7 linked regions of the Macaca fascicularis genome follow. The protein of the gene in region 1 interacts with the protein of each later gene in a pairwise test. Links are inferred from orthologs where the notes say so. Each region holds a gene or a part of one and is shown in the gene's direction. Other genes may lie near its edges.

Region 1 (3,897 bases):
CCGTGGATCCCGCCAGCGTCCTGCTGAAGCACTCAAAGGCCGACGGCCTGGCGGGCAGCAGACACAGGTATGCCGAGCAGGAAAACGGAATCAACCAGGGGAGTGCCCAGATGCTCTCTGAGAATGGCGAACTGAAGTTTCCAGAGAAAATGGGATTGCCTGCAGCGCCCTTCCTCACCAAAATAGAACCCAGCAAGCCCGCGGCCACGAGGAAGAGGAGGTGGTCGGCGCCGGAGAGCCGCAAACTGGAGAAGTCAGAAGACGAACCACCTTTGACTCTTCCTAAGCCTTCTCTAATTCCTCAGGAGGTTAAGATTTGCATTGAAGGCCGGTCTAATGTAGGCAAGTAGAGGCAGCGTGGGGGAAAGGAAACGTGGCTCTCCCTTATCATTTGTATCCAGATTACTGTACTGTAGGCTAAATAACACAGTATTTACATGTTATCCTCTTATTTTAGGTTTCTGTTCTAACCTTGTCATTAGAGTTACAGCAGGTGTGTCGCAGGAGACTGGTGCATATGCTTTTTCCACGAGTGTCTGTCAGTGAGCGGGCGGGAGGAAGGGCACAGCAGGAGCGGTCAGGGCTCCACGCATCCCCGGGGAAGAAAGGAACCGGGCTCCACAGCGCCTGCTTTCTGTAGCGGCCCAGAAGCAGCCAGGGGCGCTGACTCCCGCTAGTGTCAGGAGAAAAGTCCCGTGGGAAGGGTCCTGCAGGGGTGCAGGGGTGCATGCATGTGGGGGTGCACAGGTGCTGTGGCGGCGAGTGAGGGTCTCTTTTTCTCTGCCTCCCTCTGCCTCACTCTCTTGCTATCGGCATGGGACGGGGTGTTCAGAGCAGTGTCCTCCTGGGGTTCCCATGTGCAAAATCAACATCAGGAACCCAGCTTCAGGGCATCGCGGAGGCGCGTCAGACGGCAGATTTGGAAAGTTAACCATTTAAAAGAACATTTTTCTCTCCAACCTGTTTTACAATAAAAGCAACTTTTAATTGTATAGATATATATTTCCCCCTATGGGGCCTGACTGCACTGATATATTTTTTTTTTTAAAGAGCAACTGCCACATGCGGGATTTCATTTCTGCTTTTTACTAGTGCAGCGATGTCACCGGGGTGTTGTGGTGGACAGGGAAGCCCCTGCTGTCATGGCCCCACATGGGGTAAGGGGGGTTGGGGGTGGGGGCGGGGGAGAGAGCGAACACCCACGCTGGTTTCTGTGCAGTGTTAGGTAAACCAATCAGGTTATTGCATTGACTTCACTCCCAAGAGGTAGATGCAAACTGCCCTTCAGTGAGAGCCACAGAAGCTCTTCACGTTGAGTTTGCAAAATCTTTTTGTCTTTGAACTCTAGTACTGTTTATAGTTCATGACTATGGACAACTCGGGTGCCACTTTTTTTTTTTTTCAGATTCCAGTGTGACATGAGGAATTAGATTTTGAAGATGAGCATATATTACTATCTTTAAGCATTTAAAAATACTGTTCACACTTTATTACCAAGCATCTTGGTCTCTCATTCAACAAGTACTGTATCTCACTTTAAACTCTTTGGGGAAAAACAAAAAACAAAAAAACAAAAAAAACTAAGTTGCTTTCTTTTTTTCAACACTGTAACTACATTTCAGCTCTGCAGAATTGCTGAAGAGCAAGATATTGAAAGTTTCAATGTGGTTTAAAGGGATGAATGTGAATTATGAACTAGTATGTGACAATAAATGACCACCAAGTACTACCTGACGGGAGGCACTTTTCACTTTGATGTCTGAGAATCAGTTCAAGGCATATGCAGAGTTGGCAGAGAAACTGAGAGAAAAGGGATGGAGAAGAGAATACTCATTTTTGTCCAGTGTTTTTCTTTTTAAGATGAACTTTTAAAGAACCTTGCGATTTGCACATATTGAGTTTATAATTTGTGTGATATTCCTGCAGTTTTTATCCAATAACATTGTGGGAAAGGTTTGGGGGACTGAACGAGCATAAATAAATGTAGCAAAATTTCTTTCTAACCTGCCTAAACTCTAGGCCATTTTATAAGGTTATGTTCCTTTGAAAATTCATTTTGGTCTTTTTACCACATCTGTCACAAAAAGCCAGGTCTTAGCAGGCTCTTAGAAACTCTGAGAATTTTCTTCAGATTCATTGAGAGAGTTTTCCATAAAGACATTTATATATGTGAGCAAGATTTTGTTTTAAACAATTATTTTATTATTGTTGTTATTAATGTTATTTTCAGAATGACTTTTTTTTTTTCTATTCAAAATCAAATCAAGATTTAATGTTTGGTACAAACCCAGAAAGGGTATTTCATAGTTTTTAAACCTTTCATTCCCAGAGATCTGAAATATCATTTGTGGGTTTTGAATGCATCTTTAAAGTGCTTTAAAAAAACAGTTTTATAAGTAGGGAGAAATTTTTAAATATTCTTACTTGGATGGCTGCAACTAACCTAAACAAATACCTGATTTTTCTTTTACCCCATTGAAAATAGTACTTCCTTCATTTCACAAATTAAAAAAAAAAAAATCTGGTATCAACCCACATTTTGGCTGTCTAGTATTCATTTACATTTAAGGCTCACCAGGACTAATGATTTTTGTAAACCATTTTCTGGGGTGTACCAAAAACATTTGAATAGGTTTAGAATAGCTAGAATAGTTTCTTGACTTTCCTCGAATTTCATTACCCTCTCAGCATGCTTGCAGAGAGCTGGGTGGGTTCATTCTTGCAGTCATACTGCTTATTTAGTGCTGTATTTTTTAAACGTTTCTGTTCAGAGAACTTGCTTAATCTTCCATATATTCTGCTCAGGGCACTTGCAATTATTAGGTTTTGTTTTTTCTTTTTGTTTTTTAACCTTTGATGGTAAGAGGAATACGGGCTGCCACATAGACTTTGTTCTCATTAGTATCACTATTTACAACTCATGTGGACTCAGAAAAACACACACCACCTTTTGGCTTACTTCGAGTATTGAACTGACTGGATCCACTAAACCAACACTAAGATGGGAAAACACACGTGGTTTGGAGCAATAGGAACATCATCATAATTTTTGTGGTTCTATTTCAGGTATAGGAATTATAAAATAATTGGTTCTTTCTAAACACTTGTCCCATTTCATTCTCTTGCTTTTTTAGCATGTGCAATACTTTCTGTGCCAATAGAGTCTGACCAGTGTGCTATATAGTTAAAGCTCATTCCTTTTTGGCTTTTTCCTTATTTGGTTGGTCTTTCCCATTCTGGCCAGAGCAGGGCTGGAGGGAAGGAGCCAGGAGGGAGAGAGCTTCCCACCTTTCCCCGGCTGCGGATGCTGAGTGCTGGGGCGGGGAGCCTTCAGGAGCCCCGCGTCTGCCGCCACGTTGCAGAAAGAGCCAGCCAAGGAGACCTGGGGGAGGAGCCGCAGTGTCCCCTGTCACCACACGGAATAGTGAATGTGGAGTGTGGAGAGGAAGGAGGCAGATTCATTTCTAAGACGCACTCTGGAGCCATGTAGCCTGGAGTTAACCCATTTTCCACGGTCTTTTCTGCGAGTGGGCAGGCCCCTCCTTGGGGTCTGTGTCCTTGAGACTTGGAGCCCCCGCCTCTGAGCCTGGACGGGAAGTGTGGCCTGTTGTGTGTGTGCGTTCTGAGCGTGCTGGCCAGTGGCTGTGGAGGGGACCACCTGCCACCCACGGTCACCACTCCCTTGTGGCAGCTTTCTCTTCAAATAGGAAGAACGCACAGAGGGCAGGAGCCTCCTGTTGGCAGACGTTGGTGGGCCCCGAGGCTCCCAGAGCAGCCTCTGTCACCGCTTCTGTGTAGCAAACATTAACGATGACAGGGGTAGAAATTCTTCGGTGCCGTTCAGCTTACAAGGATCAGCCATGTGCCTCTGTACTATGTCCACTTTGCAATATTTAC
Region 2 (3,897 bases), on another chromosome or scaffold:
TTTGCTGTTTGTTTTATGCTGTTTTTCTTTGTATGTAGTTTGATCCAATTTAGCAGTAAATGAAGCTTTTATTGGCAGGTAAATTTATTTTGTTGTTGAGTTTTGATCTTGACACCCAGGCTGGTGTGCAGTGGTGTTTTCTCAGCTCCCTGCAACCTCTGCCTCCTGAGTTCAAGCCATTCTCCTGCCTCAGCCTCCTGAGTAGCTGGGATTACAGGCATCTGGCACCACACCCAGCTAATTTTTCTATCTTTAGTAGAGACAAGGTTTCACCATGCTGGCCAGGCTGGTCTTGAACTGCTGACCTTGGGTGATTCACCTGCCTTGGCCTCCCAAATTGCTGGGATTTCGGCCATGAGCCACCATACCTGGCCCAATAGCTAAATTTTAGTCATTACATTTTAACAAATGTTGAACAAGATCTCAACCTTTTTTTAATCTCCTCTCCTCAGAGTATGCTCAGGTAATCAAAATGTTGGGAAATGGACGATTGGAAGCACTGTGTTTTGATGGTGTAAAGAGGTTATGCCATATCAGAGGGAAATTGAGAAAAAAGGTAGGTGTGTGGGTTTCTTTTCCATAAAAGTTTGCTGTAAAAAAAAGTCTCTGCTTTAAATACATGGTCCAAGCAATTTATTTTTGTGAGTTCCCAAAATAATTTATGTAACAATGATCCATGTGACAATGTGAATAAAGAAAAAGTCTTTGATAACTTTTAGATTTACTTTTAAAGAATAATTTCTTTGTTTAACTTCTGTTGTATTCCTGCCAGAAATGTCTACCTTAGTATTGAAGAAACCAGACAAATCTAATATATAACACAAATGGTCTTGACTCAATTAAATGTTAATGCTGTGAAAGAATGAAAAATCTTCCTTTTTACTTTAGATTAAAAGAGATTAATCGGTGCATATCCCTTCATTAGGTTTTGGATTGGGGGAAATAGTTTTAGGTGGTACTATGAAAATTGGAATATGGAATATGTTAGACAATCTATTTGTTATAATACCACATCAGGTAGTTTTATAACTTACACTGATTAAAAGTCTCTACTACTCAGATTTTTAATTAAAATAATAATAACTTTTTTTTTGGCTGAGCTCTGTGGAAGTAGTAGCCAGCATACACTTGTAGTCCCAGCTGCTCAGGAGGCTAAGGCAGGATGATTGCTTGAGCCCAGCCCAGGAGTTCAAGGTTCCCATAAGCTAAAAATTGTGCTAATGCACTCCAGCCTGGGTGATAGAGCGAATCTCTATCTCAGAAAGCAATAAAAATAAAAAATCTTTTTGATATGTTAACATTCTTTCTTTTCCAAATTAGTGGCACTTTTAGGGGTTCTCTTAGTCCATTTGGGCTGCTCATTGACTGGGTAGATTATAAAAAACAGAAATTTTATTTCTCATAGTTTTGGAGAAAGAGAAATCTATTTAACATTTGGTGAGGACCCATTTCCTGATTATTATGTGGTGCCTTCTGGCTTAGTCCACACATGGTAGAAGTGATGAACAAGCTGCCTTGGACCTCTTTTTTAAAACCAAAGATTCCATTATTGAGTGATTAGCCCCCATCATGTAATCACCTCGCAAAGGTCCAACCTCCTAGTACCATCACCTTGGGGATTCAAATTTCACCATAAATCTTTTGAGGAACACAAACATTAAGACAAGAACGGGGCTGTATTTATGTAGATTGGGCGCTTTTTAGTCATTTTATGTAGACATATCTGTATTTTGGACAATTGCATGTCTCTCAATTTCTGAGACAAAGGATCTTTTGGCAGTTTAAACTCTTGAGTAATTGAGATAAAATTGTTATATATTTTTTTAACTTTCTAAGTAAGAAAATTTTAACAAACTCAACTGGATACCGTAGTTTTTTCATGCCGTACCTTAACTATGTACTGCATACAACTATACTACAGATACATATTACAGTGTTTTTTTCCTAATTTATTTTTAATCTTTGAGGTAAGGTCTCACTGTGTTGTCTAGGCCTCTCTACATTGCCTAGGTTGTTCTCAAGCTCCTGCACTGAAGTAATCCTCCTGGCTTAGCCTCCCAGAGTGCTGATATAGGCATGAGACACCTCTCCTGGCATCTAATTAATTTATTATTTTTTCACACTAGGTGAATAGTATACCTGTTTTGTACATTTAGTAAAAATGTTTAGATTCACTAAACATTTTTTTCTTTTGATTTTTATTAAATTAAAAATTTAATGAAAGTTTTTATTTTTAAAATAATCTGCAGTAAATGTCTTACAGGTTTGGATAAATACTTCAGACATTATATTGGTTGGTCTACGAGACTATCAGGTAAAAATAACATTTAAATTTGTGTTGTGACTTTGTATTTAAGCAGTTGTTAATGTTTGGAAGGTACTATATACTAGCATCTTTGACCCGTTCCAGCCCAGGATGATTTCTCACCATTCTGCCTGCCATCATCATTTGTTTAGGGCCAGTTGTGTTTAAGACTATAGTATTTTTCAAATTTGAAATAATTCTCACAGATAGTTAAGGGTATATGTATTTTTGTGGAAAGACATAAATTTTTTAATTCTTTGTTTTCATTGCTAATGTGCAGTAAATATTTTCTTGCAGGCTTGGGCAAGTACTGTAGAACATTCTGTCCTAATCCATTTAAAGGCCAATGGTGTTTCAGGCATTCAGCGAGGTATTTCAGACATTGTAGTTCCCAAATGCCAGTCTGTGAAATAGTATTGGTGCAGGCTGAAATTTCAATGCTCTGAAGTCACATTAGAAGATAACATAGTTAGGATGTTCTTCATGGAACACAATTGTTTGTTTACTTTTTAAATATATATTTTAATAACCTTTTTTTAAATGAGAAAGATAATATATAAGGTAGTAATTTTTATTAGTGTTCTAATTTGGCAAAGGAAAATTTAGTAATCTGGAGACTCATTTACCTAAAATTATTTTTAATATTAATATTTTGAAATTTAAAGTTCTTGAAATCCACATCTGGGAAACCACAAGTCTAGTTGATGCAGTTGAGTAAGTTGGTTCTCCTTTAAAAGTTTTATAGTTTGGTAGTGTAAAGTTAAGATATGCGTACCAAGTAGTTACGGTACAAACTGTTGTAAAGTACAGGCTATAAATTTAAAGTGAGCAGTGTATAACAAAGACAGTGGTGGGGTAACTGTTTAATCTGCAGTGTTGAAACTGTTTACATGCTATAGGTCTGTAAAATACATTTGATTTCTATCCATGGAACTCATCACCATTGCTTAACCACATTGAAAAAGTACTCCTATGTCTATATTTTTATTCTCTTAATATTAGGTAAAGTTTTCTGTAGTCATCTGTTAAATGTAGTTGGTTTATAATGTTCAAGTCTTCTGTTGATCTTTTGTCTGATTCTTTTCATTACTGTAAGTGGCATATTGAAGTTACTCTACTTTTCATCTTGAGAATTTCTACTTTTTGCATGACTTCAGTGTCTTTATTGACTTTCTGTTTAGTGAAATACCATTTTCATAATTTTCTTAACATTTTTAGACAGGATTTCTTTTTAAGTCTTTAAATATGTTTATAATCTCTCAGATAAACCAAGTCCAACTTCTGGGATTCCTCAGGAATAGTATTTTTTTTTCCCCCTGTGTTTGAGTCACTTTTTTACGTCTCTCTTTGTTTTTTTTTAAGCTGAACATTTTAACTACAACATAGCAGTTCTAGAAATCAGATTCCTACCTCTCAGCGTTGTTGTTGGTACTGCTTGTTTGGTGACTTTTCTGAACTAATTCTTTGGCCATTGAATAGTTGGTTAGTTTAGTGGGCAGTTCATGTTTCAATTAAGATTTCATTAAAATGAGCAAGATTTTAATCATTTAAAGAGGAATATTGTACATTTAGAGGAATACTTTCAACATTCA
Region 3 (4,426 bases), on another chromosome or scaffold:
TTTATTTGATATCCTTCATTTTTTCCATGAGGTATGAGACAAAGTTGATTAGTAAAAAGTGGGGGTTGGGGAGGAGGTATATAGAAGGCTTTTTTTTTTTTTTTTTTTTTTTTTTTTGAGACGGAGTCTCTCGCTCTGTCTCCCAGGCTGGAGTGCAGTGGCCGGATCTCAGCTCGCTGCAAGCTCCACCTCCCGGGTTTACACCATTCTCCTGCCTCAGCCTCCCGAGTAGCTGGGACTACAGACGCCCGCCACCTCGCCCGGCTAGTTTTTTGTATTTTTTAGTAGAGACGGGGTGTCACCGTGTTAGCAAGGATGGTCTCGATCTCCTGACCTCGTGATCCGCCCGTCTTGGCCTCCCAAAGTGCTGGGATTACAGGCTTGAGCCACCGCGCCCGGCCCAGAAGGCTTTTAGTAGAGACAAAAAAGAATGAAATAATCCTTCCATCAAGTCTACTTAAATGTCAATTTAGTGGATAAAACTCTCCCAGAATTAAGTACATCTCCCAAACCCTTCTTCTTTCTCAATGGACCGTTTGCTCCCTTCTGGTACTCAAAAAATAACATTTGAAATTGTATCTTTGTTCGTTCACTTGTCTGATTCCCCATTAGAGAACTACAGAAGGGCAGGGACTTTGATTCCCCAATGTATATTTAGCCGTTAGCACAAAGCCAACAGATAGTCACTAAATACATTTTTTTTAAACAAAAATGTTAATGAACACCTTCAAAATTTTGTCTTACGCCACCTCGCAAAAATTCTTGTTTGTGCAAGTCACATTTCCTTTCTGAGCTTTCATTTCTGAATCTATACCCTGGGAATTATCTCTTCCTTGCCTACCTCACCGCGTTATCAAGAGGAGGATCTGAGCCAATAATGCTACAAATGCTTCATTAAGGGCCCCTTAAATGTAACGGATTTCTATTTTTAGCCCACTGGTAGCCTCGCAAGTAGCAGGTGCTGAAAAAGCCTTGCTTATTAGGGGTTGGAGGACAGCATTGTTTCTGTGACCGTAGGCGTCGAAGCTATGCAGAAGCGTTCCACGGACCGCGGAGAGATGGGGCTCAGGCCAGCATCCCTCTCGCCCCTGCCCTTCCCGGGAGGCGCTGGCCGAGCGAGGATGGGGGTGCTGGGAAGCCGAGGGGGTAGTAACTGTCAAACCTCGCCGCTTGGCGCCATTATTTAAATAGAACGTGCCTGTCTCGCAGTTGTACGTGTCCGGGGCGGGGCTTCGAGCGCCCTAAGCGGGGCGGAGGCCAGAGGCGGGCTGGGAAGGTGGAGGGGCGGGCCGGGGCGGGGCCAGGCCGGCTAGAGGGGCGGGTCTAGCGGCGGCCCCCGGCGAGGTTCACTGCGCTTGCGCTGACAGACGCAAGATGGCGGACAGTGCGGAACTAAAGGTAAAGCGCAGCTCGAATTCACTTCTAATATTCGGCCGCGGAGACGGCGCCTCTGGTGCCTGGGGGGATGGGTCCGACCCTGGGGGGCCGCTCGGGCCTGACTCCACCCGGGCCTGGAGTTGTAGGGAGAGAGGCGCGCCCGGTCTCAGCAGAGGGGGCCCGCCTGCGGCGGGCCGCGGGCCCCGGGTGCCTCGGGGGCGCTGACGGGTCGTCCCCGGCGTGTTATTGTTGTGGGCGCCTCTGGCGGGGGTGGCGGGGGAAGAGATAGGGAGTCGGGAGGTAGGGGCTGCAGCTGTCTCCTGGGCTCGGCTTTTTCACCTTCTAGTTAGCCTCCCCGCCCCCCATGGGGAGCTGGGGCTGGGGGCAGGGTGCTCTTGTAGGGGGGATTGGGAAAGCTCCCCGTGGCCGCTTCCTCTTCCTCCTTTGCAGTCCCGGGCTCCTGTCAGGCGCTCTTCTCAGACCCCCGGGAACTTGGCTCCGGCCGCCCCGCCCCTCCGTGGATCCCTGTCGCCCCCGCCCCGGACTCGGCTCTCCCCGGCTGCTCGCTTTCAGGAAGCGCCTGGGGTGCCCCGCTTGAGGGAAGCGCGATCCCGGGGCGATAGGGTGGGGATCTGGGGGAGAAGCTCTGGTAAAGTTTAGCGAGCCCCGGGCCGGCATTGGGGTTCGGCTGAGAGGTAGCGGGGGAGAGTCAGCCTGGGCGGGACGTTACTCTCTCTCTGATTCCGGGCAGCCGAGGGGAGAAACCCCCTCGAAGAGTGTGTGTTTGGAAGCAGTGTTGGGAGAGGGGGATGTAGCTACCTCTCTCCCTTCTCTTGCCTTGGCTGGTGTGGAGGGTGAGAGGAGCCTTTGGGGGTCTCTGCACACACCATGATGGCGATGCTGTAGCTGATGGAGGTGAATGGTTCGTGTTTATATCCCCCCATTGCCTTTTGTTTGTAGGGACATCTTGCTGGCCATGTTGATTTGAACGAAATTCTCCCCTCATGCTACTCTAACCCCCGATAAATAGAACGTTCCTCTTAACTGTACCAATTACTCACGCCTCACGAAATTAGATGAAAGGGTGCCCCCTTTTCCCCGCTTTTCTCCCACCCCAATCTTTACCTGATGATGGCTTCTTTACCGAAGCAGATATACCACTACACAAGCAGTTGGGGGAGGGGGGGTGGAACCCTTATGATTGGATTGTGACAAATGGGGCTCCGTTTGAATAATTTTGGTTTAGTAGCAGGCAGTTCTTAACTAACGCGTATTATTTCGAGGCTCTGAACGCGATCTTCTCTGTGGCTTCCTGTGTGTGTGAACCCAGCAGCTGGTTATGTCTCGACCCAGAGAACTGACATCTCTGTCAGAGTGGAGATTGGGATATACAATTGTAAATCTTTGGAGAGAGTCTTCTTTTTATAATTAATACAAATTATTTAATTTTTTTCTCCGTTATAATGAAACGACAACTTCTGGAACAACCAAATGCCAGATTTGATTCTGTAGAGTTTTTCCTGTGGAATATCCTCACCGAAAGATCTTTTCTCCTAATAACTTCACAATGTTTACACTCCAAGATTTAGGTATTAAAGTATTGGCTTTGAGTGTCATTCTTTTAAAATGTACTTATAATTACAACTTTATTTAAGGGAGAGCAGATTTAGAATGGATGGTTTTGGGTTTTCTCCAGTTTCAAACTATTGACTGAAATGAGAAAGCCTTAGGAATTTGAATATTTGGAGATAGTTAACCCTTGAAATAAAAAAAAAGCACACAACTTTAAGACATGTTTTCTATGATTTTTCTCTTATGATAGAGTCATCATGTTGCTGTGATCTTTGCCTTCTAGTATTTATTTTGTTAGGAGTTCTTTTGAATGATAGCTAATCAGTTGTTATACATGGACCATAGAATAAAGCCGAAAAGCTTGTGCAGACTATATTGTCACTCTTGATGCTGTCCAAAGAAACTAGTATGGAAAGCACATGCTGAGAGATTTCCTTCTTTGTTCTTTCTCATTTTAAGAAAGTGCCTTTGGGGATGGATCAGATCCCTGGTGTGAGTCTTGTTAGGTAAAGTTTCTCTTTACGAAAGTGAACCAGTATCAGATAAACACCAAACACTTGAAGAAATGTTATTTTTCTAAAATTAGTCTCGTTTTTTGCTCTCTCCCAAATCTACTTGAGTTTTTCCAGAGGAAGTTTTTTTTTTCTACTTTTATGTTCCTGTTGTATAATTTTTCAAATTATAATAACTGTTTTGACATGTTGGTATGTCATTGTGTGTGTCTGAGACTTTGAGGAGCTGTGTGATAAATTGCTTAGCTGGTGATAACTGCATTAAAAAAATTTGGTTAATACTTTATTGTGGTTAGATTTGCTGTTCTTTTTTTGGGGGGTGGAGGAGGTGATCTCAGGAACGCCTACCATAGTTATTTGAGAATGTGTTAAAAAAGAATGTGTATATATAATTTTCTGTGCAGTAAGGTTTGGCAGATACTCCTTTTGGAAATGATATTTTCGGAAGGCTTTTTGTTTGTGATTTTTTGGAGGTAAATATGCATTCCTAATATACGAAAAATCAGTAAGAAGAAGAAAATCTAGTTTTTTTGAAATTTTAAATGGGAATAGAGTACTTCAACTGTGAAGCTTTGCATAACATTCAGTGACTTTTCATTATCTTAGGTTTCAGCCCCATACTTCATTTTGCTGTGTATTCATAATTATTTTCCTCATGGCTTTTTTAGTGAGTCCTTTTAAATCTATAAGAAATCTGCAAAGATCAGATGGGAAAAACGGATAGATCTTTATCCCCTGTAGGAATTGCGCAAGCTGCAACACTTCAAGATATTGCCAATAAAAATTAGATTGTGAATCATACATATCAAAATGAATTCTCTATGCACATTTGTTTATGAAAGGCTTAATTTTTCATTAGGGGAATACCCATAAATGACATTTTAAGAATGTGGAGGGTATTTTGTCATCTTTAGGAACTTAGAAGCAGGAGGGTGTGATGGCCAGATGATCTTGGTGGTTAATAA
Region 4 (4,614 bases), on another chromosome or scaffold:
AAAGCCATTTTCGGAAAGCTTTTGGTGACCTTGAAACATTCTCAGGTGCTCTCTGATGTTTTAATAAATGAAACTTAATATATATAGGAGATACAGTTCCTCCTTCATACCTGTATAGTAAAAAAGCTGCAACATAAATACCTTTGGTTAACCTTTATATAGTATAGTATTTTAAATATTACCATAAACATGATAGAAATTAACAGAATGAAGGTTAACTGGGGGAAAAGCCCTGAGCAGGGAGGGAAGAGTTGCTGCGGGAACACTGTGGCAGGTCTGAAACCAGATCCTGGCTATCGAGCAGAGGGAAATGGCACATCTTTGGAGGCTTTTCTATCATGGTAATAATTGTTTTATTAGAATCAAAGCATCCCAGAGAGCACTTGCTCTTTCCTTCTCTCCAGTCCCCTTGACTCTCCCCTTAGCAGGGTTGGATGGGAGGTGGGGGCGGGGGGAGGGGGAACAGTACAAGAAAGCAATGCTATGTCCCTTTCTCCCATTGTCTGGCCCCCAAATGCAGTGCCATAAATATCAAAACAATGCTTGGTAATAGTCCAAAAGATTTAACTTGTCCCCAAATTCCTAAACGACCATTGGCATGTAATTTGGTTCTTGGCAGAGTGTAACTGAACAACTTGTAGACATGACATTTGTGTGAACATCTACAAGAGACAGGCCGTTATCACCACCCATTCAACACTCCAGCCAGAGGAAGAACAGCAAGTGGGGCCAGCCATCCAAGTTCACCTGAGCGCTCTGGGGTCTCAGCCCGCATCCTAAAACCTCAGTTCTGCTGTGGCCCGGCTACTCACCATTCTCAACTGTGTTTTCTTCACCATGCAGGTGATGGAAGCCCAGGAAAGCCCAGGGTTCAAGGCCAGTGACTTCAGCCTGTCACCCCCTTAGTCCGCATCGGGCCCACCAGCCCCCTCCCTCCCTGCCCCCAGCCCTGCCCGCACTGCCCCCCATTGCGCCCAGCCCTTCCTCACCCCGCGGGAGAAGCTGGCCTCTCATTCCTCACTGAGAGACTCGACGGGCGGCCCCACGCCAAGCCTTCCTCGCCCTCCCCTCCAGCCCTTTCTGAAGGGGAGGCAGCAAAGGTGAGCAAGCAACCGCCGCAAGTTTCGGCAGCTGCTGAGGAAGACTCATCGGTTTCTAAGGAAACAGAGAGGCAGCAGCCATTTTAGTGGCATTTGCTGTATAAAAAATATATAGACACTGGCATCCCCCTCCCCACTCGCGCTGCGGCGCCTGCCCTCCCGCCCCGCCTCAGAGGCCCCGGGATGAGGGTGGGGCCCCAGTCTCCGAGGGACGCAGCGGCCACCTGTCGCAGGTGGCCAGCCACTAGGGTCGCTAGCCCCAGTGCCCCCCAGCGGGCGGGACCGCGGGGTCCCCACCCCGGGGTGAAATCCCCACCCCCGGGCGCCGCAGCGCAGCGGCGGGCGGGCGGCTTGGCCCTCCCCGCGCCCGCGTCCCGCCCCCCAGGTCGCCTCCCTCGCCCCCCCGCCCCAGGCCGCGGGAGCCCGCGGGGAGGGCGGGCCCGTCGCAGCCGCGCTGGTCGCCAGGCGGCCGGGAGGAGCGGGGTCCGCGCGGCGGGCGAGGCGGGGGCGGAGGCGCAGGCAGCTCGAGCGCGGGAGGTCGCAGCAGCCGGGGACACCGCGCGCCGCCGCTCAACATGGTCGCTGCGCACGCTGCCCATTCTTCCTCCTCCGCCGAGTGGATCGCCTGCCTGGATAAAAGGTAGCTCGGCCGGGGGCCGCAGCTGGGGGCCGAGCTCTGCGGCGCTGCCCGGGCCCAGAGACCGCCGCAGCCTCACACCTGGGCGCAGCGCGGCCGGGCTGCGGGTGGCCGGGGTCCCCGAGCGGGGGAAGGGGTTGAGGTCCTCGCCCGGGAGACAGGAGGACAAGGACCCCCGCCTCTCGTGGGGTACCAGTGGCATGAGATTATTACACGTGGTGGAGAAAATGCAGCGCAGTAAGGGGAGAGAGCACCCACCTCTCCAACCCCCCGCCCCGCCGCGACTCCAGGCTCCGCTCCTGGGTGGGGGTTTATTTTCTCTTGGCATCACGGGACGGAAGAATCGATGCATACCCTCTCTGGCTATTCAGACCTTGCGGGGTATTAAGTTTTAAGGAGGGGTGGGGGCACCGGCAGGTACAGAGTAACATTCTTTTTTTTGTTCTCGAAATCAAAGTGTGAGGGACCCAGTGGAGCTGTCGAGTCCCTTGCTGAAATTCACAGCTTTCTGCCCCCGCAGTCGCTCGCTCAAGGTCTGTGTTAGAGAAGGTCATTTGGGAGGCTGCTTTCGTCTTAATACCTGCTTCTCGGGAAAAGACCTTTACGCTAAAAAAAAAAAAAAAAAAAAAAAAAAAAAAAAAAAAAAATTAAAACCGTACATAAAGCATATAACTCCCGACGACAGCTCTCTCTAAGGAGGATGTGTATGTTAACAGTGGATTGCAGTTGTTTCCAGGCTCTGACAGCATAATATTCTGTTTGTCCAGATTGCAGGTTTAGCAGTAAACATTACACAGTATGTTAGCAATTATAGCTTATTACCCTGATTAAAAGGTGATGCATCTGAACTTTTAAGAACTGAGCAAGAAATCTTGCAGAGTGAACTGCCTCTGAATTTCGGAGTTTAATGCAGAAGGGCAATGATTCACGTCTTGCAGCTATCTGCATGACATCTCTATTTGCATTTGTGTGAAATATTTTGTGTTCTGCCATATTGAAAAATTTTCAATTAACAGATTCGTAACACGATCAAACTTGAAAATCTTAAGTGTGACATGCTTTGCATACTCTATTATAGGCCTTTGTTGAAAAATATTAAGTAATTTGAGAAAAGCTAAATGTAGCTCATTTGAATAACTTAATATATCTGATAGTCTTGACTTTCAATTACCATACAGTAGCAAGATTTTTTGGCAGGCAGTGCCCTATTTATGTCTAAAATGATATGTACTAATATTAGAAATAGTTGCATGCAATAAATAGTAAGAGAATTAAAGTAATGGTTAAATCATACAGGATTATGTAGAACTAAGAGCGTTTGAAGGATAGAGGTTGTTAATGTGTCAAGTATCTAAATTTAATAGTTCAGGAAAAAGGAATTGTATGGGATTCAAGATCTTGCACTTAACCTATAAATAGTGGTGCTTCCTTATGAATGGAATGTTTAGATAATAGATGACATATTTCTATGTGTATAAATGCATGGCATGGCATTTTTTGAACAGTCGTTAATTCACTGGAAACCCATTAGTCAATAAGAAGTACTTATGGCAAAATCATAGAGCAATACTAACACAAGTGGGACATAGTCGACTCTCTCTTTTCATAATGTGTATCTGCCCAAATGATTTTGCTTGAAATGGATTTTTTAGAGCATGATGCCCTCACATAATGCCACCATTCATAATGGAAAAAAAAAACTAGGAAAAAAAAAAAACCCTTCACAGATACTGAGTCTAGCATCAGAAGAGTCAGATGAGTGGACAGATCAATAAGTTAAGGGTTTTAGGAACACAGCTGTTACCAGTTCTGTTATTGGACATGTCACTTTTACTTCCTTGAGTGTCTGAAAAATGAGGATAGGACTATCAGGGATAAGTGGACAAATGGAAGAAGAAAAAAAGGTGAAATACTTTGAAAACTGTGAGGTGCCATGTAGGCTTTTTATTTTGTGGTATTAAGAGAACTTTGCATGTTCTGCAGTGTTCATGCCAGAATTGATACCTGTGAGGAACAGTTTAGGGCAGCAATCTCATTGTATGAAGGCTGTGGGGGCCTTGTTTTGAAGGTGTGTTTTTCTCTTAGATTGTTTATTTATTTATTTATTTTTTAGGAAAGGAGAAAAATTGAGAGTGTTTATGGAAGTTGTCTAGGGAAGCCCCCTGAAAGCCCTGTTTAGTGGAGACAGTGCCCTGAACGTTTCTGAGAAATGCTATCTTGATACTCTTTTCCAGGCACTGTGCTGGGCACTGGGGATGCAACAAAATATGAGAGTTGCTTATAGGCTTGGAGGGTAGGGGAGATTGGTGGTGGGACGGCTGTATAAACAGCTAACCACAATGCAGTGGTAAGTGCTTTAATGGAGATGTATAAAGTGCTTGGGGAATGCAGATGAGTGAGTTATCGAGATGCTTCCATAGGTGTCCTGCGTAGATCTCAGAGGCTGAGAGAAATTTTACCAGGCAGAGAATAGGAAGGGCATGCCAGGCAGTGGTGTGGCATATGAATATGCTAATTTCTTCCCAACTACAAATTCCTGTTGTGACCAAATCTAGAATATAGGAATGTATGCTCTATTTTTATAAAAACTTTTTTATAATGGACATTGTCAACCCTGCACAAAAAAGAAAGAATAGTACAATGAACCCCTGTGGGTTCACTTGGGAATATGATACTGGGACCTTTTAACTGGGAAAAGGATGTAACTGGGAAACGTAGTTCAAATATATGCCTCATTCAAGTGACAACTGTTGTGGATGGTGAAAAAAAGAGAAACCCTGGGACTGGAAATAAAAAGGAGAGTTAAAAGAGGAAGTCTGCAGGAGTAAAGAAGTATGCAATGAATGTTGAAGTGAAACAAACAAAACACAAGGAAAA
Region 5 (4,373 bases), on another chromosome or scaffold:
GCTGTCCACAGGGCTGGACGCGGGGTTCACCTGTGTTCTGGAGTGGGTGGTGGGCTGTCGGAGGGGTTGACCCTGTTCGGCGGGAACGGGGGAGAAAGTCTGAGGGTCTGTTCACGGTGTGAACCCCAGCATCAAAAGGTCAGTTGAAACGCTGTCCACGGTGCCCAAAGGATGGGACCTGGGGACCGGCGCTGTCCTCCTCCATGGTGCTGAAACTGGGAGGACCAGGCTGTGTGAGCAGCGAGGCCTGGGGAAGGGCAAGGGATGAGAGCAGGAGGGACCCCGCTCGGGAGTCAGGGGCCCCGCCCGGCTCGCCGTGGGACCTCAGAGAAGCTAATTACCTGATTTCAGGTGCTTTCTTATCTTTTAAATGGGACCACAGGTCCGCCCTCCTGTCTGTACCGAGGGTCTGTCCCATCAGCCCCAGTAACACGGTTTGGGAAGGAATTGGAGGACCTTGTTGGATTCCTGCTCTTGGGAATGGTGCCCTACCCCCTCCCCTGCCACACTCACACACACATACACCCACGCACACGCGCGCGCACAAGCGCGCGCACACACGCACACACACACCATCGAGGCTCATTGGTCTAGGGAAGGAGCCTACAGTCCAGAAGGGGGCGATCCCATCCACCACATAAGGTCCAGTATCTTCAAGAGCCAGGAGCCGCAACAACTGGCCTGCCTCTCTCCCATTACAAAGACTGGAAAACTGAGTCCCAGAGAGGGGAACACCGACAGTAATAACCACTGAGCTCCTGCCACGTGAGCGGCATTATGCTAGGCGCTTTGCATGCACGATTTCGCAAATCCTCACCAGGACCCCCGCAGACAGCTATTACCCCCATTTCTCAGATGAAGACTTCGAGGTTCAGAGAGGGGTAGACACCTGGACGCGATCACACAGCGAGCCGAGGTCGGCGGCAGAGCTATCACCAGGTTCCCTGTGTCTCAGCCCAGGCTCCCACCCTACCTCGCCCTCACCCCCAGACCCAGGCCCCGCCCTGCCGGTAAAGTTAGGAGCCTCTGAGCGCGCTGGCCTGGCAGCGGGTGCCCTGGCTTTTCTCCCTCTCCCTGCTGGACGGTATTTCTGTGGCTGAAGCCCGTTGGGTCGTGCTTTGCTGGAACTGCGGGAACCCAGTCCCTGGGGTGGCTCTCTCCGCCCCATCCCGGCCCCGCCCCCGCACTCGGGCGGGGGAAAGTTGCCGGTACCGCTTTAAAAATCCCAGCCTGGGCAAAACTTTGATGATAAATCAAGCGGTAGATCCCTCCGCCGCCTGCTCCGGGCGGGAGGAGGGAGGGGAGGAGGGAGCGGAGGAGGGAGGCGGGAGGAGGGAGGAGGGTGCCGCGGCAGCGCGGCGTGGCCTTCCGCGGAAGGGAAGAGTCCCGCAGTCAGAGGCGGACGGCTGGGCGTGCGCTCGCTCCCCGCAGCCGGGGCTGGGCCGGAGCCAGGCGAGGGCTGGGAGCCCGGCCGGGCCGGGGACAGCGGGCGAGGGGCAGCTGCCGGAGCCGGGCAGCCAGGCCGCGCAGGTCAGGGGACGGCGGGTGCGGGGTCTGCGGTCTCCGGGGCCCCGATGTGAGGCGGCGGCGCCCCCGGCCCGAGCGCGCACCATGGGGGCCCCGCTCGCCGTAGCGCTGGGCGCCCTCCACTACCTGGCACTTTTCCTGCAACTCGGCGGCGCCACGCGGCCCGCCGGCCACGCGCCCTGGGACAACCACGTCTCCGGCCACGGTGAGTTCGGTCGCCGCCACCGCGGGCGTCCCTACCAAACCCCACCCCGGGCCGCGCCACTCCAACTTGGCCGCCCCGGGGCTCGAACTGGCGGCAGTCGTGGCGGGAATCCCGGGGCGCCCCCTGCCGGCGCAGTGGACCCGCCCTGGCACCCCGACCCTGTGGAGGAGGGGGCACCCGGGGCGCACCCCCGAACCTCCTCCCCCCACACTCGCGCGGATACGCACACCTCTATGGCCACACCGATATGCACAGCCGCGGACACACTCAGACCCACAGTCGCTGCTTTCTCACACTCACAACTCCTACCCTGCACATCTCCACACACCTCAGGTCCCCCTCCTCACTGCAAGCCCTTACACTTATGCCCACTACGCACGCACATCGGGCACTGCGCCGGTGGACTCACTCTGCCAGCTGGCGCACACGCTTCGCCACAACTCTTGCCTGCCCACCTGCAGACACACTGGTGCGCGCGCGCACCCACACAGACACACACATACACACATGAACACAATTTGCTCGCCCACTCCTCCCCGCTCATCTGCCTTTACTCTTCGTGGGTTTAACTGCACAGAGGCCCTTGTCCTCTCCCTCTCCGCACCCTCCCCTTATACCACTGGAAAGGTCCTTGGGAGCAGAAGACCCTGTTTCTTGAGAACTGTCACCTGAGGCCACAGCCTCCCTGTTGGGCGGGTGGCACCTGGTGGAAGCCCCTCAGAGCCACCGGAGTAGTTGAGGTTGCTGCTTGCAGCCAGAGGCATGGGAGTGGGAGTGGGAGTGGACGTGGAATGCCGGGTGCTTTTGTCTGCCTCTGGGGGTGGGCAGGAAGCCGCTGCCATCCTTCCATAGGGTCCCCCCATCCTCATCCTCGGCCCTAGAGGACTGAAATGTGGGAAGTCACAACTCCAGCCGCTGTGGGAGCCGTGGAGCAGACAAGCATTCCCTGCACTGGCTGGCTGACTGTCAGAAGCTCCTGCTAGCCCCAAAGGAGCCCAAGTTGGCAGCAGAGTTGGACTGTATGAGCCTGGCAGCTGTGGGGGCTCCCCCTGGCCCCTGTGAGCCTGGCTCTGGGATGGGAGCTTGAGCATATATGAAACCAAAGGAGACCTTTCTTCCATGCAGCCCTTCACTAGACAGACTCCCAGCCCTGTGGGGGAGGCTGCAGCCCCAGTGCTGGGCACTGTGGGCCCAGGGCTGCGGGGAGGTTTGCACAAAGGCCAGATAATTGGATGATTTATTCTGATGGGAGTGAGTGAGGGGTGTGGGGGGGTAGATAATCAGGGAAGGCTTTGCTGGGGTGTGACACATGAGTGGGATTTCTCCAGTGGAGAGGGGGGCTTCAAAGCCATCCTCAGGGTCTCTGCTTTTGGGGAACCATGACTCCCCACCCCCTTCTGCCTCACCATGTTTGGTAGTAACCGCTGTGTGCATCATTTATGTACCCTTCGTACCCCTCACCTGATTTCTACTGACCTGGCTAGAGCGGTGGTAAATAAGGAAAGGGTTCTTTTGATCCTCAACTTACAGATAGGGACACCAAGGCTCAGAGAGATGAAGGAAGTTGCCCAAGGTCACACAGTAAGAGAGTGACTGAGCCAGGACAGGCCCCAGGGTCTGTCGGGCCAAGACAGCGCTTTTTTTCCAGGACATTCATCTCCTTGTCAGATTCCCTCCCATTCTAGGGAAACGGAATTCCTCCCTCTCCACCCCTCCTCTCCTCGCTCTGTTCAGTTCCTTGGCACAGTTGGAACTTTCAGTAGGAGGGGTTTTCATGGAAGGGCTTCCCTGAGTTTGCAGTCCCAAGGGGTACAAGGAATGGGACTCTGAGGCTTATGGTCGTTCTGTCCCTAGAGCACCAGACCCCAGGGACTTGGGTGCCACTCTGTCATTCCTGAGGCCCCAAAGTGTCTCCCCCCATGGAGAAGCAGGGTCTGTCTGCCCTTTGTGTGACAGTCTTTACCTGCCCCCTGGTGCCAGGTAAGCTGAGGGGGCACAGCTCTGCCCAACCAGCTGTAATCTCCCCTCTGCACCCTGGAGGGTCAAGCTAAGGCCCAGGGCAGGGGCTAGATGAGAAGGAGGCACCCCTAGTTGCTGGGGAAACTGGCTTCTCTCCTGAACCCCTCGTGTGGCTCTGGGCAACTGAGCCACCCCTCTGGGTCTCCCTGTGTCCCTAAAGAAACAAGGAGGCCAGGCTGCTCTGCAGGGGCCAGGCTGCCTTCCCCCGACATTGCTAGGTTCAAAGTCACCAAGTAGTGACTGCCAAGGAGCCCCCACAGCTGCCCCTCTGCCGGGCCAAGCACCCGCCACCACAGGAAGGGTTTGGAACCACTCACTTAATCACAAAAAGAAACTGTTATTAATGATAGTGAGACGCGGCGAATAAGTGGGTCATGTCTAATAAGCCATTTGTGTTCAGGAGGAGAATACCAATTTGATAAAAGCTGTGTGTGCTGAAAAAGCTCAGAAATTGCTGTTTAGCAGATTGGAGCCTGATCGTTTCATTATTCCTGGGCTCCGTGTGTCCTCAGCTGATTCAGGAAATGTGGCCCAGTCGGGAAGGTGTCTCTATGTCTGGGGGTGGGGGGTGGGGGCTGGAAGCAGGGACTCCTGGGGAGGGGCACATTGACCCCAAGTGCTT
Region 6 (4,647 bases), on another chromosome or scaffold:
CCCAGTCCAGTGCTTAGGCTGGAGTAGGAAGAGAGTAATGATTCATTAATTGACTGAAAGAGGGCGTCACAAGAAAGGGACTTGCATCTATGCTGCAACGACATCTTTATTGCAAGGGCAAGAAGCACATCCCAGATCTTTTTGAAAACATCAGGGATGGAGGTGGGAGGCAGGGCAAGATGGAGGAAATTTCTGGGAGTACAGCTATCTAGCTGTCATGGTTCAACTATGGTTTCAGTTTTCTAGGGTTTCTTTTTCTTTTCTTTTTTTTTTTTTTTTTTTGGAGACGGAGTTTCTCTCTTGTTTCCCAGGTTGGAGTGCAACGGCATAATCTCGGCTCACTGCAACCTTCCACTCCCAGGTTCAAGCGATTCTCCTGCGCCAGCCTCCGAGTAGCTGGGATTGCAGGCGCCTGCCACCTCGGCCGGCTAATTTTTGTATTTTTAGTAGAGACAGGGTTTCACCATATTGGCCAGGCTGGTCTCGAACTCCTGACCTCAGGTGGTCTACCTGGCTCCGCCTTCCAAAGTGCTGGAATTACAGGCATGAGACACCACCGCGCCCAGCCTTCTAGGGATTCTTAACCTGGGGCTCATAGGTGGGGCTTCAAAAGATCCATGAATCCTCCGACTCTTTAATCAAGCACCGGTGTCAGTAGCTGTATGTGCATTTTTCTGGAAGAGGATCATGGCTTTCAATGAGTTTCAAAAGGCTGAGACTGCTGGAGACCTGCACTGTCCAAAGGGTAGCCATTAGTCCGGTGTGGCAATTTAAGTTTAGATTTAAATTAAAATTTCAGTGCCTTACTTACACTAAGCTACACATCAAGTGCTCAACAGCCACGACCTACAGGACAGACCAGATAGAGTACACTTCCATCACTGCAGAGAGTCTGATGGGACAGATATCTGTATTGGTAGCATTACCACCTGAATACAGGTAAGATTGGATCCAACTAGTGCTTTTGTAAAATGAGTTGCCAACATTTAGAAATAAAACATAAAAATCTAAAATCCTGATTTCATTTGGGAAACAGGACTATCTACCAGCGTGGGGCCTGCGTTCCCCTGGCAGCTGGAACGCACGGTACTGCTCCCTTTAGAGGGACTCTCGGTCATATAGAAGTTTCCCGCTTGACCCTCCTTGACGACTGACAGTGGGACCCTCGTTTCCAGGGGACTTAGCCGTCTTGGTCTCCTTCCAGGCTCGCGTTTGTAACCAGACTCCAAATTTTGCTAAATGGGGTTAAACTGGGTTTCAGAGCACATTTTAGAGCAGGGTCTAGGGGTCAGTTGGAAGTCGAGGAGGGGCAGTGCCTCCTTCCTTACAGTTTTCCGGAACTGTAGGAAGTCAGAGGGAATTTTATCCTGAACATCTGTTGCTTGACAAAGAAGTTCTTCCCAGTCCTCCTCCGAGCTCTCCAGTCCCCAGCCCAGTTCGCCCGGGCCCGCCCCTAGCAACGAGATCGCGGGGAGGGGCCGAGGCGAAACATTAGCCCCGCGCCCACCACCCCAGCTGGCGACGTGGCTCCGCGGCCCCGGCCTCCCCCGGCAGCGCAGCGACCAATGGGCGCGTGAGCGGGACCGCCCGCAGCTTCCCAGCCCGAGGCCCCGACGCGCCTCTCTGCTCCGGCTCAGGGCGGGCACTGGCGGAGGGACTGGGCCGTCCCCTCCTCCGCGCCGGCCCCGGCCCCAGCCCCGCCGCCGTCGCCGCGCTCCAAGCCCCCATTCCCGAGCTGCCGCTGTTGTCGCTTGCTCAGCGCCTCCCTCCCGGCCGCCCTCTCCTCCGGACGATGGCGCGCGGTGGCCGTGGCCGCCGCCTGGGGTTCGCCTTGGGACTGCTGCTGGCGCTGGTGCTGGCGCCGCGGGTTCTGCGGGCCAAGCCCACGGTGCGCAAGGAGCGCGTGGTGCGGCCCGATTCGGAGCTGGGCGAGCGGCCCCCTGAGGACAACCAGAGCTTCCAGTACGACCACGAGGCCTTCCTGGGCAAGGAGGACTCCAAGACCTTCGACCAGCTCACCCCGGACGAGAGCAAGGAGAGGCTGGGGTGAGGCCGCGGCCAGGTCCCCCCGGGGGGCGGCGCAGGTGTCCAGGGGCCGTCTGGGCGGGAGCCACGCGGGATACCACCGCCAAAGCGAAAGCGAAATCGCGCGCGCGGCCCCGAGGGCGGGGGCCTGCCCGACTCGGCGCCGGGGCTCAGGCTGAGTTGCCGGAGGGCCCCGGGACCCCAGCGTGGAGATCGCCGCCGCGCCCCGGCCTGGGTGGTTTCTCGCGGGGAGGCGAGAACGTGGCAGCGGCCGCGGTAGCCAGGACGGCGAGGGCCCGCCCCCTCCCCCGGGTTGCATCAGAAGGGAAGGGAGAGAGTGCACAAAAGAAGAGTTTGTCCACAGTGGCCTGTTAGTGACATGAGTTCCTCCCTACCCTCTCGCAGTTTCTCTCTGATCCCCCACTTCCGGCGAGAAGGGCTTGAGACACTCGTTAAGAAGGTCTCAGGGATGAACATGAATGGATAAAAGATGAAGGGGCAGGCGAGTGACAGGCTTGCTTCCTAGTCTCGGCCAGGTGGTCTTGCCTTTTGCCTAATCGCCCTGTAAATCTATCGTAAGGAGGCTGGGCGCGGTGGCTCACTCCTGTAATCCCAGCACTTTGAGAGGCCGAGGCGGAGGGATCACCTGAGGTCAGGGGTTCGAGACCAGCCTGACCAACATAGGGAAACCCCGTCTCTACTAAAAATACAAAAATTAGCCGGGCGTCGTGGCACACGCCTGTAATCCCAGCTACTTGGGAGGCTGAGGCAGGAGAATCGCTTGAACCCGGGAGGTGGAGGTAGCAGTGAACCGAGATTGCGCCACTGCACTCCAGCCAAGGCTAGAGTGAGACTCCATCTCAAAAAAAATAAAAAATAAAATAAAATAAAATCTAGTGTAGGGATACAAAAATCCGGGGACACGCAGTTTCCGATTGGAAACACGAAGGAGCAGGAATGGAAACGGGTGGCCTGAAACGTTTCTGTTGGCAGCAGATGTCTGCATAAGCACTCAGTTCTTTGGCAACTGATTTGTTGGGGGCAAAAAGCTGGAGGGTGCTCTTGGTGGTGGAGGATTTTCACTCGGGCTGTTAAAGGCAGTTGAGTCAGGAACCAAACCCGGGAAACAAAACTTTGGCACATTTCAGTACACCCTCCCCGGGTCCCCCTGAGGAGACACTTGGGCATTGTGTGGAGATATCTGCTGGTCCTTGCTCAGAGGACCCAGCAGGCAGCCTGGTCCCAGATGGAGGCAGGGCTGGGGAAGAAACCAGCAGTCCTGTCCACTGGGCACCAGGTCTCAGATCTCCCTGAACCTGATTCCTGGGGGTGGAGGATCTTCACGTTCTGCCACATGAAAGAGAACACAGCCATCCCTGTGCTGGGGCCCTCCAAAGGCCAAAGTGTTTCATTGGAATATGAGGATAAATTATACCTATTGTGTAGGTGCACCATCTGCCTGCTCTGATAACAAGACCTTTGAACTTCAAAGTCACCTCCAAACAATTACCTTTTATCTTGCACAGTACTTTCTCTTCTCGGTTAGGACTTAACAATGGGGGCCATTGATGAGTTCAGTCAATTGTATTGCTTTGAGGCACTTGGAGACTGATTTATTCTGGAGCCCTGAGTGGTAGCCACATTGTCACTGGAGAGGAGGCAGGGAGAGGTTTTGGGATTTGGAAAACTTTATAAGGTGTGGTCCTACAGCTTCCAGTTAATGCCTTCATCATGACAGTTCAGCCTAGTAGTGAGAACAAGTGACGGTGGGGTTGGTCTGGATTTGATCCTTGTATCAACACCTTGACTTCATTCATTTATTCATGCAACAAACATTTGAATGGCTACTGTGTACCAGGCCCCAGTTTAGACAACTGGAAGATACAAAGATGAAACCTTATGCTCTAGGCATCAAAGTGCTTATAAGCAAATGTGGAGGAGAGAAGCACAAACTAGCCATTATGCACAATTGCTGCAATGATGGCCTATAAAACCTATGGTGAGCACATCCAGGAGAAGGAGCCACCAGGGCTGCAGGTTAGAGAGAGGGGATTAGGGCTGTCACCTGATCAGTTTGTAGGATGACTTGGAGGTTGCCAGGTGTACAGCAGGGGAAGGCCTTCCTGAAGAGAAAACAGCCCATTTCTAAAGGGTTTGAAAAGTGTTCTGGGGCCTGAGGGGTGGTGAGTCTGCAAAGCGGCAGGGAAGGGAAATGAGAGGTGGGAATGGAGGGGAAACCAAGGACAGAGCAGGAAGGACCTTGGTGAGATGGAGATATGTTATCCTGTACGTTGTCAAAATGTCATAATCCCCAAAATTCACTGGGAAAGTCAGGCTGGCAGGAGGCAGTACGCAAAGAACATAATCGAGGTATAGACTAGACCAGTGGCAGGGGAGAGGGGGTAAATGCCAAAGGGGCTTGGTCTCTCCGGATTCCAGGAGGCGATGTATCTATACACCAGTGGGAGGTAGAACTGGCAGCTCTTGCTCTTGACTCAGCAAGGGGGAGAGGAGGGAGGTAGGAATCAAGGGGACATCTGGGTCTCTGGCCTGAGCCACCAGATGGGTGATGGATGCACCATTCGCTTGTAGGTTAAATCTGGGGTAGAGGCGGGGTAGGAG
Region 7 (3,897 bases), on another chromosome or scaffold:
GGCAGAAACGGTCAGAAAGATTTGCATTCAAATCCAGCCTCTGCTGCAGACAGCCAGGAATCTTAGGCAAATGCCTTTGACCTTTCCGGGCTTCCACTTCCTCGTCCACAAAATGGAATGTACAATGTCAGATTTTGTTATGAAAAGTAAGTGAGAGAACACTAATACACACACATATGTATATACATATACATATGAGTGTGTATATATATTTATAATTCTTCAACCTCAAAGTTCTTTGTATCTATCATATTATTTATAGATTATTACTGCCATCAAATATTACTTCCATGTCAAAATTTAATACTAGAGTTCAAGCAAAATACATTGAGTTAAAAAGAAATTGAGCAAGAGTATGCAAAAAAAGAAAAATACTGTGCTTTTCAGGCCCTGTTGTCCTCCGAGAAAAGTAAATCTGAGTTCAAGACCCTGACTTCTTCCTACAGAAATTGAAGAGAATGCGGCTTCGTTTCTCTGTGAGGATCCATCTAGAGTTGAATTATTTTGTCAAAATAAGGAGCATTTTCCTAGTTAGAAAAACTCAAAGCACTCAGAACATGATAGGATAGATTTCCTAAAGGAAATAACCCCTCCAGAAATTTGAGGGCTCTTGAGTACACAGTTCTAAAGTAAACATGTTGGCTGTAAAAGTCAGTATACAGACCTTCTGCAAGGCATATGTAACTTTTATAGCTCAAAATTTACCATTGATTTTTCTCTCAAGGTTTTTTAGACCTAAATTAATTTTTAATATACTGACCTAAGATGCCCGGCTATTTTTAGATAAAACTGTGAAATATCCCTTAACTTTAAAGTAGGCTGTGAGACATAAGATAGTTAAAGCATTACATTGCCAGCAACCTACATGAATGGAGGTTTCGTGCCCACTGGTCTCATGCCAACTGCACATAGAAATGCTGGCGGGTAAACAGCACTAAGGGGACTTGGGATCCTGCCCAGGGGCTCGCTCTGCTCCACTCCAAGTCAGATTCACAGGTGCCAGCTCCACCCAGGCCCCTAATCGCGAGGCAGATGAACACATCAGCAAATGGCACCCTCTAGAAAGGGACCAGGACCACTCATGCATAAGGCACAGGAGGAGCAAACTTGCCTATTTGGAAGTTTTCAGGTTCAACATTGTTTAGTTCAAAACTCAGCACCTGGCAGCCTGTCCTCAGGTACCAAGCACCTAAGTAGCACTGGGGGTGAGGGGCTGGGGTCATGCTGAGCTGTTCAAAGAAGGAAAGCCCTTCCCTCTACAACTCCCTCCTTGAAATGAACACTCATTTTCTGAGCTTTAGTAATACTTTGCCTTCTCCTCTGTTCTAGTTCTTATCAAGTAACATGACCAAGTCAGTTTTGAGTAAAGTGCCCCCATTAACTGTGCAGTCTCGGAACACAGAGACCTTGAGGTACTGCCCTCTGAGACCATAGTACCCAAGACGGGGCCCGACATGAAAAAGAACTCAGTGAATTTTGATGAATAATGAAAAATGAAGGATAACAGAAATGAAAGATATGTTTAGGGGATGAGGGAACCTAAGAGAACATTGTCCTTTGTAACCAGGAAAAGATATGTTTGATGAAAAAAAGAAATGGGTCTCAAATGTTTATTTTGTGAGATAATAAAATGATTGTTGTCATTTTAAGCCACTAGCTTTTGGGGTGATTTGTTACAGAGTAACAGTCTCTGGAACAGGTCATTTTGCCTAGCAGTGGGTACTACCGAAATATAAGCAATGGGTACTTTCTTCCTCCTGGGATGCTTGGCTGTTCCGTGGGCCCCATGTATAGAATCCTTCTCTGTTAAAGTATGTCTTATGTCTGGAGGGAAATTTTCTACCTTCCAATGTGCTTCTAGGTGCAGGAGGAGTGGGCAGCAGGGCTCTGCAGGACCCAGGGTGGGATGCACAGTGAGAAAGATGGACCAAGGGCTCCTTGAGGCGGATAGCCCAGAGTGGGCTAAGAGGCCATCTGTATGAAGGCTGCTCACCTGGTCCACTTAGCAGGTGGCAAAACTTATGAAGGAATAGGGATATCAATGAGCATCCTCAGTAATCTTCTATTGACCTTGTAGTGCTTGTCTGTAGAGCCCAGAACCCAGAGTTTTTCATCCAGAAACACATACATAACTTCTCTGCTTTAAAATAGCACACGGTTTGTTTTTGGTTGTATTTGGGGCTTTGCAGTTCTTCCTTGTTAATTATCAGTACTACCTGCTGTTTGTGACTGGCCTAGGCTTATGTCCAAGGGAACTGAGGCCACCACCTACTGATTCCCTATGGCCTTCCCTCCTTGTGGTCTCTGCTTCCCTTTCCTCCTTGTGTCCATTCTCTGCCTCCCACACACCCCTGGTGACAGTTGGCTCTGTGAAGAAACCTCTTTATGTCTCTCGAAAATAAGCCCAGTCATGTTCTATTTTTAATGGGTTTTAAATGTCTGTTCTGCAAAAGAAAAATCCCTGCAAAAAGAAGTCAGAAACTGGAACCTCACCCAGGGAGGGGATAAGTGTGGGCCCAAGACGAGGGCTGGTGGCAGGAGAAACTAGGTCCAGGCACCCTCCCTCTGGCCCTACTGGGCAGCAATGAAGCTGGATTCTCATATCTAAAGGAACATGGAAGTTCGTGTAGCACCGCCTGTGTGGGGAGAGAAACTGCTGTCTGCCTCAGTCTTGTTCCTGGGGGCAGTGAGCAGAGATGCTGCAACACTAGCGTCAGGTGGTGCTTGTTGACCAACTCCAAGCCCCATCGACTGAAAGCCACATGTCACCAACCTCACCCACAGGAAACAATGAGGTGCCTATACCTGAGTACCTGCTGTGAGAAAGCCTCCCCTAATGCCTGCCCTTGACAGTCAGGCCAAACCGCTCTCCAATGGGTGAGGCTCTAACAACGCCCTGGAGCACCTGTGGTGCTGTCATTAGGAACCTACCTCGTCGCCCCAATTCCGTCCCCTCCCAACACCTGACTGCATGTGTTCTCCTTTGCAGTTCTTCCCTTATGGAGACGCCTCCAAGTTTGCCCAGCATGCCTTCCGAACCTTCGACAAGAATGGCGATGGCACCATCGACTTCCGAGAGTTCATCTGCGCTCTGTCCATCACCTCCAGGGGCAGCTTTGAGCAGAAGCTGAACTGGGCCTTCAATATGTATGACCTGGATGGTGATGGCAAGATCACCCGAGTGGAGATGCTGGAGATCATCGAGGTGAGGCCTGGGGCGTGGTTGGCGGGTGGTGGGCACAGAAGGAGACCCCACGGCAGCCTCCTAGGTGCAGGGCCTTCGTGGTTCCTTCTCTCTCTGCTTGAGCCCTGCCAGCTGCACACCACGCCTGGACTTCTCCCGCTTCTGTTCCCACTGCAGCACAGTGCTGGGGAGGTCCCAGAACCAAGCCTTGGGGCCCGTACTGTCATGACAGTGGCATTGTCATCTGCCATTCACTCACTACCGGATCTCCTGTGAACCTGTCTTACTGGGCACAAAGGATGTCATGGGCTCAGCTTCTCTTGTGTTTGGCATATCTCTGCTCTGCCTCACTCCAGCTGCACCTAGTGGGGTTCCGAGGCTGTCAGGGGCTCCCGGGACATCCTTCCAGGTTCTGATCATTCCACAGCAAGCAGGCTTTGCCCATTGTGTTTGTGAGTAACCCAGGATTCCTCTGCCACGCCAGCCCCTGCATACTGCACTCCCAATGTGAAGGTCTTCTTGGTTTTCCTCTCTCTCTGCCCAGCATGTCCTCCCCTGGCCTTTGGGGGCTCCTCCCTCACTTCACTTCCATCTCCGGTCCTATCCCACCTCCCACAGAGGCCTTCCTTCCCACATCCCTTCCCAAATATGCCCACTCCACCTCCACACCAAAGCAATCTAACCCTTACCAAGAGGGGTTTTGTCCCAACGTT

Evidence for each region.
Region 2: the proteins of ATXN1 (region 1) and eukaryotic translation initiation factor 1A, Y-chromosomal interact in binary tests that used the Homo sapiens proteins (3 or more experiments, as listed by UniProt). The link is inferred for Macaca fascicularis from reciprocal best matches to the Homo sapiens genes ATXN1 and EIF1AY.
Region 3: the proteins of ATXN1 (region 1) and PIAS1 interact in binary tests that used the Homo sapiens proteins (3 or more experiments, as listed by UniProt). The link is inferred for Macaca fascicularis from reciprocal best matches to the Homo sapiens genes ATXN1 and PIAS1.
Region 4: the proteins of ATXN1 (region 1) and RAPGEF4 interact in binary tests that used the Homo sapiens proteins (3 or more experiments, as listed by UniProt). The link is inferred for Macaca fascicularis from reciprocal best matches to the Homo sapiens genes ATXN1 and RAPGEF4.
Region 5: the proteins of ATXN1 (region 1) and VSTM2L interact in binary tests that used the Homo sapiens proteins (3 or more experiments, as listed by UniProt). The link is inferred for Macaca fascicularis from reciprocal best matches to the Homo sapiens genes ATXN1 and VSTM2L.
Region 6: the proteins of ATXN1 (region 1) and RCN1 interact in binary tests that used the Homo sapiens proteins (3 or more experiments, as listed by UniProt). The link is inferred for Macaca fascicularis from reciprocal best matches to the Homo sapiens genes ATXN1 and RCN1.
Region 7: the proteins of ATXN1 (region 1) and VSNL1 interact in binary tests that used the Homo sapiens proteins (3 or more experiments, as listed by UniProt). The link is inferred for Macaca fascicularis from reciprocal best matches to the Homo sapiens genes ATXN1 and VSNL1.

What each region holds. Positions count from the first base shown.
Region 1 is NC_088378.1:156,606,939-156,610,835, forward strand, and holds part of ATXN1 (ataxin 1), read left to right. Parts: coding exon 1-350; 3' UTR 351-3,897. UniProt on the Homo sapiens protein: Chromatin-binding factor that repress Notch signaling in the absence of Notch intracellular domain by acting as a CBF1 corepressor. Binds to the HEY promoter and might assist, along with NCOR2, RBPJ-mediated repression. Binds RNA in vitro.
Region 2 is NC_132903.1:7,975,312-7,979,208, forward strand, and holds part of eukaryotic translation initiation factor 1A, Y-chromosomal, read left to right. Parts: intron 1-452; coding exon 453-556; intron 557-2,263; coding exon 2,264-2,314; intron 2,315-3,897. UniProt on the Homo sapiens protein: Component of the 43S pre-initiation complex (43S PIC), which binds to the mRNA cap-proximal region, scans mRNA 5'-untranslated region, and locates the initiation codon. This protein enhances formation of the cap-proximal complex.
Region 3 is NC_088381.1:44,795,808-44,800,233, forward strand, and holds the start of PIAS1 (E3 SUMO-protein ligase PIAS1), read left to right. Parts: upstream 1-1,362; 5' UTR 1,363-1,374; coding exon 1,375-1,398; exon of another isoform or gene 1,399-2,286; coding exon of another isoform or gene 2,287-2,292; intron 2,293-4,426. UniProt on the Homo sapiens protein: Functions as an E3-type small ubiquitin-like modifier (SUMO) ligase, stabilizing the interaction between UBE2I and the substrate, and as a SUMO-tethering factor. Catalyzes sumoylation of various proteins, such as CEBPB, MRE11, MTA1, PTK2 and PML.
Region 4 is NC_088386.1:68,274,098-68,278,711, forward strand, and holds the start of RAPGEF4 (rap guanine nucleotide exchange factor 4), read left to right. Parts: upstream 1-1,517; 5' UTR 1,518-1,675; coding exon 1,676-1,740; intron 1,741-1,818; coding exon of another isoform or gene 1,819-2,089; exon of another isoform or gene 2,090-2,115; intron 2,116-4,614. Other genes in the region: uncharacterized protein, read right to left, coding at 1-110, 990-1,155, 1,819-2,089.
Region 5 is NC_088384.1:94,018,779-94,023,151, forward strand, and holds the start of VSTM2L (V-set and transmembrane domain-containing protein 2-like protein), read left to right. Parts: upstream 1-1,388; 5' UTR 1,389-1,611; coding exon 1,612-1,732; intron 1,733-4,373.
Region 6 is NC_088388.1:33,483,645-33,488,291, reverse strand, and holds the start of RCN1 (reticulocalbin-1), read left to right. Parts: upstream 1-1,726; 5' UTR 1,727-1,792; coding exon 1,793-2,046; intron 2,047-4,647. UniProt on the Homo sapiens protein: May regulate calcium-dependent activities in the endoplasmic reticulum lumen or post-ER compartment.
Region 7 is NC_088387.1:104,615,343-104,619,239, reverse strand, and holds part of VSNL1 (visinin-like protein 1), read left to right. Parts: intron 1-2,989; coding exon 2,990-3,205; intron 3,206-3,897.